Mus musculus: one gene and its partner. The protein of the gene in region 2 purifies or fractionates together with the protein of the main gene of each other region. This does not show direct contact. Links are inferred from orthologs where the notes say so. Each region holds a gene or a part of one and is shown on either strand. Other genes may lie near its edges.

The links. The genes of interacting proteins can lie anywhere in the genome.
Region 1: the proteins of Ryk (region 2) and Adgra3 purify together in Homo sapiens (affinity purification with mass spectrometry; 3 studies listed by BioGRID and IntAct, with this or other methods). This does not show direct contact. The link is inferred for Mus musculus from reciprocal best matches to the Homo sapiens genes RYK and ADGRA3.

What each region holds. Positions count from the first base shown.
Region 1 is NC_000071.6:49,961,889-49,965,516, forward strand, and holds part of Adgra3 (adhesion G protein-coupled receptor A3 precursor), read right to left. Parts: intron 1,949-3,628; coding exon 1,803-1,948; intron 1-1,802. UniProt on the Homo sapiens protein: Orphan receptor that may have a role in planar cell polarity pathway.
Region 2 is NC_000075.6:102,833,441-102,837,895, reverse strand, and holds the start of Ryk (tyrosine-protein kinase RYK isoform 1 precursor), read right to left. Parts: upstream 2,977-4,455; 5' UTR 2,841-2,976; coding exon 2,657-2,840; intron 1-2,656. UniProt on the Homo sapiens protein: May be a coreceptor along with FZD8 of Wnt proteins, such as WNT1, WNT3, WNT3A and WNT5A. Involved in neuron differentiation, axon guidance, corpus callosum establishment and neurite outgrowth.

The DNA.
Region 1 (3,628 bases), on a different chromosome or scaffold from region 2:
TGATTTTGGTTTGGATCTTTGTTAGGTTTTGTTCTGCTTTGCTTTTCCATTTGTTTTCTTCTTTTTCAAAGGACCGGCTCTGAGCTGGGGAAAGCTGGTCAGCTGCTGCCACCGTGTGGCCAGGTGGAAGAACACTTGGGTCTACCTAAGCTTTTAGTGGGTTGTGTTTTCAGGGAAAGTGGCTTCCATTAAATTCAGCTGGTGAGCCAAAAACTGTGGGTCTATTATTACACGGCAACTTTCAAGATTCACACACATAAAATACAGTAGGAAGAGCTATGGAGAGTGAGATTTCGCAGACTTCAGCTAGCCGATACTCTTCAGTTCTTACACACAATGGCAGGCATCTGAGCCAACCCTACAGTGTGCCTCTGCAGGCTGGGTTAGCAAACCTCAACAGCGCTGGAGATATCCAGTCTATCTGGTGTTCCTTTTCATTTCAAACATAGCTCGTCTACTGGAAAGATATGTCGCCTCTGGATCACTACACCCCTAACTTCTCCCTAGACCTTGCTCAGTACAAGCACTTCAGTGACAGCAACATGTGGAAACGAATTGGGCCGAGCACTGGTAAACCTCCCTGGTGCTTACTATGCATGCTATTTTGCCTGTCTTTTTCAGCTGATGGAAACACCATCTGCAGGCTTACTGTAACCCTGCAGACGTCTTCACCTTTCTGACACTCGAGTACTCAGATCCAGGCAATCCCACGACCCTCCTCACACATCTAGCATGTACAAGCTCTCTGGCTCCAGTCCTCAGCGAAAACCCCGTGACTCACCAACACTTCTTACTTTCAGGCATCCCAACTTACACTCCACACTAATGCCACACTGTCCTAACAAGACCCTCTCAGCACCCACTTCCTGAGTTAAAGCTCGCTGTCCGGCAGCTATTCACACTTTAACGTGGCTATCTGTTGTGCAGCTCTGGAAGAGCTGGGTATGAAATGCATAAACACTTAAGAAATTTACAAACTCATGAAGCTTACAAAACTTAGACAACTATAGAGGCCCTTCCCTGAGGTACTATAGGCAATAAGTAGAACTAGCTGTGACCCTTGTCCGAGTCACCCACGGTCCTGCCAGTCAATCTAGCAAATGTACAAGTTCCCCAAGATGGACTTGAATGGAAGCAACCTGCGCTTCTCAGCTAGCTCCTTTATGCAGGGGACACCTCTACCATTCCCTAACCCCAAAGCAGGTTCATGGCAGCAGCTTCAGCAAGTGCCCTCCTCTCACAAGTGGCCCTTCTTTGTACGTGCAATTCCGCACTTTCTGGAGGTCTGAACAATACGTATCCACAGCCAGTTCTGCAAACTCTGAGGCGGGGTGCGCTCAGCTGGGTGCACATCAGGCCTCCAGTGAACCTACTCACAACTGAGAATTCTGCTCATCTAGCACAATCAGTCCATTCACAACTCTTTTTATCGTAACGGGCAGGAAGGAGATGTAACTCCGAACTCATTTTGTCTTTTGTTGAGAGACAAAATTAATTCTTAAGATGAAGATCAATGACACAGGATGTCAAAAAACTTCAAGAAGCTAGTATTTTATAGAGAGCTGATACCTCCTTCTTGCTCTGCACATAACCATGAGACCCTCTCACTCCTTCTGAGCTTGAGAGGCACAGTGGAGACGCTGATGCTCATAGCACTGAGAACCAGTCAGCTTGCAAGTCTTCCCTTTGACCTCTCAAAGGCCACACCAATGTTTCTTGCTGTTGTAAGTTACGACTGTGGTTCAACTAAAGCAAACACAATAGGTAATGAACACCTGCGATACAACAAAGGCTCACACTACCTCAGCATCGGTCGTGGAGGAGCGGGTGGCTCATCTGGATCCTGGCATCTCTTGGCTTTCTTGGTGACTTGTTTATAGATATTTCTAGCAGTGACTCCAACCCACAATACCGTGGCAAGGGTAGAATAATGAAGAATGATCCCAACCTACAAAGAAGATTGGACAATGTATGACGATTAAAAGAACAAATGTTTCCTCGAGTCTGATTAAAATGCAGTAGGAAGGCGACTCCTTCACGTGCTCATGAAGGAATCGAGGTTCTTAACAGAAGATCAATTTATCACTTGGTTCACCTTCTAACTGCCACCTCGAGGAGAAGCAGAGAAGGGGAGGGGAGGGACACACCTGGGCTCTGCCTGAGAGTCGCCATATTTCAGGAAGAAAGTGATGTAACAAGGTAAGGCTTAAGCAGGTAAACTCAGAAGTAAAACACTTTCCCTCAGTTTAGGACTGCACCCATTTCCCTACCCGACTGTGATTTCAGCCAAATCACGCACGATCTCAAGCCCTCAGCTCTGTTATATTGCTTCCCAAGAGTACTTATTGTGATTATTGTAAGGGCCGTGCTGAAGAAAGCCTGTGAACCCTGGATTTCTGTCTCTTCAATTTAATAGTGGGGACTTTACTAACAGACAGCGCTGGCGTTCTGTGGAATCTGAATAGGCGTAAACTCATGGGCACACTAGGCACCTGACGGTGTAGCTGCCCACATAACGCAGACTGGACTCTATGCTTGTGATGACAGGAGGTATGCTGATCACATGATCCCTCTGGCTGGGGTGGCAATTCTGTATGATGTTGAAAGGGAACACAAGCAGCTTGAACGTTTTTTGTTTGTTTGTTTGTTTGTTTTAAGAAAATAAACAGTATACATCAGCAGAGGAAGGACACAATCTAGAATCTTGTTTCTTTTATGGGATGGGGCAGAAGGTCAGACTGAGACGGAATCTGTAGCCTAGGGTGGCCTGTAACTCACTGTGTAACCCAGATTGACTCTGAACTTGCAGTCATCCTTCTGCATCAGCTTACAAAGTGCTAGATTTATAAGTATGACATATCATGGCCAGCTTTCTAAACTAATGACTTGCTACTTTTTCCAACAGTTGTTATCTTGTGTCTTTGCTTATTTGGGGAACAGAATCTCAAGGTCTCCTGGCTGACTTTAATGTCACCATGCAGTGGATGAAGACTGTACTCCTTCTATAAGACCCTCCACCCCCTAGGTACTGAAGTGCAGGGCACTCCATTGAGCATGGCTTTACATGGAGCTGAGGAGTGAGTCCTGGATCAGTACCTTTTCCTCACAATTATTACAGGTAAAAGTCTAGAAATGAAAAGCACCAAGAAAAACTATTCATTAAGGGGGTAGCGCTCCAACCTTCAGGAAACTCCTGCTGACATCTCCAAACCCAGGTTGGCAACAAAAGAACAAGAGCCAGCCTGCAGCTAAAGCCTAGAGGCAAAAGAGCCCAAGTGACTCTGAGCCAGGACAGTAGCCACCCAGAATAAACCATGCAGACTCTGGAAGTGCCAGGACAGTGGGTCCCACTTATCTCAATAGGACACTCAGAAGTCACCATCTCCTAGGGACAGAAGTGGCTCCTTGGTTCACAGCAGTTTTACTGACTTGCAAGGAAAGAAAGGTTCATAGAGAAAAACATCACGGCCCTTTTTGCCATCTGAATCATCCTCAGAGCTTTAAGCAAAAGGAGCCCGTGCAAATTTGTTGTATAGAAATCAGTAAATTTATATAAGTGGAGTAAACCCCACTTACTTATATGGCACTTACATAGTAATAGAAACTCTGATCTATTTACATTGTCTTT
Region 2 (4,455 bases):
TATCCTAAGTTTCTGGGCTAATATCCACTTATCAGTGAGTAGATATTGTGTGAGTTCCTTTGTGATTGGGATGTTTTTTAAAATTAAAAAAAAAAAAAACCCACCTGCCCTGGGGAGTCTGATGAACAAGGAGGACCCCAGAAGACAAATGTTCAGTCCACACTAGTCTAGAAATTCCAAAGACAACAAGGGAAAGACAAACTCCACCACAGTTGTGTGAACTACGCCCACTGGGGCAGTGGGACCTGGAGGGCAAAAAGCCCAAAGGCAGGGTGCTGATGGCTTCTGGTTCAAGGCCTTTTTGCTATTATCCAATTGATTTCTATTATGTGCAGCTAATGTCTGGATTAAAAGCACTTCTCCTATCAAGTACAGCCAGCTCCACAGAGTTGTCACTTCCAACTTCCAAGTTCTCACCTGGCATTCTGAACCCTGGGTCTCAGCAACACTGTAAAACTGACACTAGCTTGCCTGAGCTTTTGGAAGTCACTTAACCCTTTACGCAAAGGAAAACGTGGTGGAAAGCACTATCTCCAACAGTCTCGCACGTACACACCATCACAGCCACACTCAGGAGGCCCAGCAAACGTCCCAGTACTTGCACTTTGCCACCCAGACAAAGCCAGATGGGAATCCTTCAACAGCAGCACAGCTGAGGGAAACGTAAAGGGACAGAAAGAGGCCCTGGTTCTGCAAGAGGACTATCTAGAGACCACATTGTAACAGGACAACTCAGCTTGCATGGAACTGAAATACCTAAGGGTGGATGGGAGCATTAATGAGCCATGCTCCCCACTCTATTTCACACACTACTGGACCAGGTGCTCATCCATCAGGTGCCCCCTCAGCTACTGTCCTAAGAAAATCAGTTCCAGGCTACAAAGGTATCACTTCACGTACTAATGAACAACAGTCTCTTTTTTAACATGCCATAATCAAACTTCTAAATGCACATGCCCTTCAATAACTTAGTCTGCAGCCAGGAAACACTGTCTTGTGTGGGTATATATTATATATGTAATATATGAAATAAACCATGTTACCTTCAGCAAGTTACTGAAAGCCTTACTTTTCTCATCTCCCATAATTGCCCCACTGGGTAACAAGAAACTGAAACAACATGTTTAAGTCCATATCAAGCCCCAGCTAGATGGCTCAGCAGGTAAAAGCACTTGTCGTCCAGTCAGATGACATGAGTTTGAGCCCTGGGACCCCCTATTAATAGTGGAAAGACAGCCCACACCTTCAAGGTGTCCTGTGACCTCCACAGAACACATCGTGGTACACACACACCAAAATAAATAAAAGTAACAGCAAAACTCTAACACGCAACGGTAGGCACATGTACTCGTCTCTGTCTGCTGCCAGATATCTCTGTCTCCCTACTTCCATCCTGGCTAAGGCAGGAGAGGAAATACATGTCAATAAAGTCACAATTACGTAAGTTCTTTTAACAACAACAAAAACAACCCTTACAAAAGCACGCCTAGGAGCCGCACTACAAATCGTTATTTTTTCCCAAGCCTTTCTCCCATGCTCCAGGCGTAACTCAGATGCCATTTCAATTCTGCTAGACTAAATTCAGCTAATTCAACTAGACTATAAGGAAGGTTAAATTAGGATGTTAGGAAAACACAGTTCTTTAGTTAAAGCCGATAAACCTACACATACAACTATGTCTAAACAGTCTGCTAAAAGCAGTTTTCATTCCGAGGCTAAACTCTCTCAACAGACCCTAAGAAACTCTTCTAACAGGCAGAAGGCTCTCTGTGAGCTTGAGGCCAACCTGGTCTACATAGTGGATTCCAAAACAGCCCAGGCTACATAAAGTCCCTGTCTGGAAAGGAAAAACAAAACAAAACAAACAAACAAACAAACAAACAAAAAAACCTCCTCTAATACACACATACGCATACACACGCGCGCGCACACCACACACACACACACACACACTTGGGGGAGGCATACTCGCTCACTAAAAAAGTGACACTTAATGGATATTTAGGGGGAGACCTTTCCAGTTCCAACACTTCACTCTAAAACACCCCGATAAAAAGTGAAGGGACTGCCTTAATGCACAAAAGACGGCAAAAGCTGGGTATCCCTAACTATCAGAGACTTCCTTTTGATGGCTGGCCAGGCCTTCCTTCAAGGGCTGATTTTCAGAATGCACAGAGTTCCAAGCGGAGGGCAGAGTCGGACTCCCCAAACAACGGGCTAAACAGGTAAACGGAACCACCGCCGACGGACCCCAAAGCCAAGTTCTCCTCTCGCTTCAGGGTCTGCAGAGTAGGCAAGTGGCCTGGAACGGCAGCATCAGGTCACACTCAAGGAACCCAAGGCAAACCCCGATGCTTGGGATCCGGTCGGCCCGAAGGTGTGCAGGATGCCACACAACTCAGGGCGCCCGGCTCACCTTGCCCCCCACTCGCTAACCAGAAAGCAAGCGCACGGCGGCGGCGTGGCCTGTGGGCCACCCACAGCAGGCTAAGGAGCGGCCACCCGTGTCCCGAGCGCCGACTCCGAGGCTCCGGAGCTCCGCGGCCTAGAGTGACACGCGCAGGGAGGCTGCAGAGAGGGAGAGAGAGAGAGAGAGCGCGGGCGGCGCAGCGGCAGCACCGCGGGCTCACGAGGCCCCGGGAGCCGCGCCACTCACCAAGCAGCCGGCGCACCTCGTCCTCGCTCAGGTAGAGGCTCACGCTGGGTCCCGCAGGAGCGGCGGCCAGGGCCGGGGACCGCGGGGCGGCGGCGGGCAGCATCGCCAGCAGCAGCAGCAGCAGCGGCGGCGGCGGGGCCCTCAGGCCGCCGCTCCCCGGGACGCCGCCCCGGCCCGCGCGCATGGCCGCCGCCGAGCAGGAGCGTCCGCCGCCCGCCGCGCCGCCGCGCACCCCGGCCCCGAGCGCCTCACAGCCCCGAGCCGGGGGCGGCCGGCCAGCTCATCGCGCCGCCGCTTCAGACCCGCCGCCCGGGAACGGGAGGGGGTGGGGGGGCGAGCTGCGGGCGGAGACGCGCGCGTGCGCGTGCCCGCCGTGCGCGAGGGCGCGCACGCATGTGCCGCCCGACCGAGAGCGCCTGGTTCTGGGGCGCGCGTGCACGGGAGAGCGTCTCAGACCTGAGGTCGGGGTGGGGGCCGCGCGTAGGGGTTGGTATAAATAACATTACGTTGTTTGCCAGGCTGAAACGCGCGAGGAATAAAGGAAATGAGTTAAAGAGACACAAACTAATCAAAAACAATAATGAAGTGCCCTGGCCAGGCGAAGGGCTCTAGGCTAATATAGCCAGTCCCCAGCCCAAGTCGTTGAGGCCTAGAGTCGGTTGGTCTCTTTATTCTTCCCCAGGTGCGCCCTGAGTCTTGGATGCTGTCTCAAAAGAAAAGAATGCTGTTTTATTTAGTGAGAAGGGACGGGTACGTAGAAATCTTCCCTTATCCCACCATCAGAGGTCAGCCTCTAGTTAGCATGTCTGTTCCCTAAAATTCACATGCCACACACTTTCCAGAAAGCAAAAACAAAAACAAAAAAAACTCATAAAACCTTAGTAAACTTTTTATTTTGTATTTTGGTTTACAGTTTGTTTGTTTGTTTGTTTGTTTTGAGACAGGGTCTCACTATGTAGCCCTGGCCCGCATGGAACTTGCTATGTAGACCAAGCTGGCCTTGAACTCACAGAGATCTGCCTGCCTCTGCTTCCCAAGTGCCAGGATTAAAGGCCTGTGCCACCCATGCCCAGCAAGCTTATTTTTACATGTGACGAACTTTTATTATCCTAGTTCTCCTTTACTGTAAATCAACCTGTATCTGGGCTTTTAACCTGTGGTCCATGCCAGCCCCCCCCTCCAAAACATGGAATGTATGTGAGTGTGTGCTTATGGCTGTACATGGCTGTCTGTGTGCATGGGTGCTTTCACATACTGGAGAGTGGTTTTTACATTTCATCCCTTGCTCTAGGAAGCCCTTGTCTCCCTAAACCGGTTAAGGATCTCTGATACATCCCAGAGACTCTGATGAAGAATTTGGGGAAGCCCCAGTCAAGCTTACTCCACAAGCCATCACTCAGGCTGGCTCCCAAGCATCCCTTCTCACTTCCTCCAGAACAGGGTCATCCCATCCCTGTGACCCGTTCACTGACCTTATGCCTCCCTCCTTGCCTGTGGAGAGCAGCTGCTTTCTGCCCGGCCTAGCTTCAAGCTCCCAGTTGCCCATCCACACGCAGGCCCTGAGAGATATTACCTGTATCCCCTGCCAGGGCAGGGAGAGAGACCGAAGAGGAGGATAGTTGGATCTTGATATTTTTCCCCCCTCTCTCCTGTAGTGAGAGGGATGGATTCCATTTGGAGACAAGCTGGCCTCAATTTGTCAAGCTTCAGTTCCCCAGCACAGAATACAGTGCCCTGCAGGAAGAGACCAGGAAGTGGGCATGAACTGAACAAAAGCATGCCATCAGTGAATGATGAAA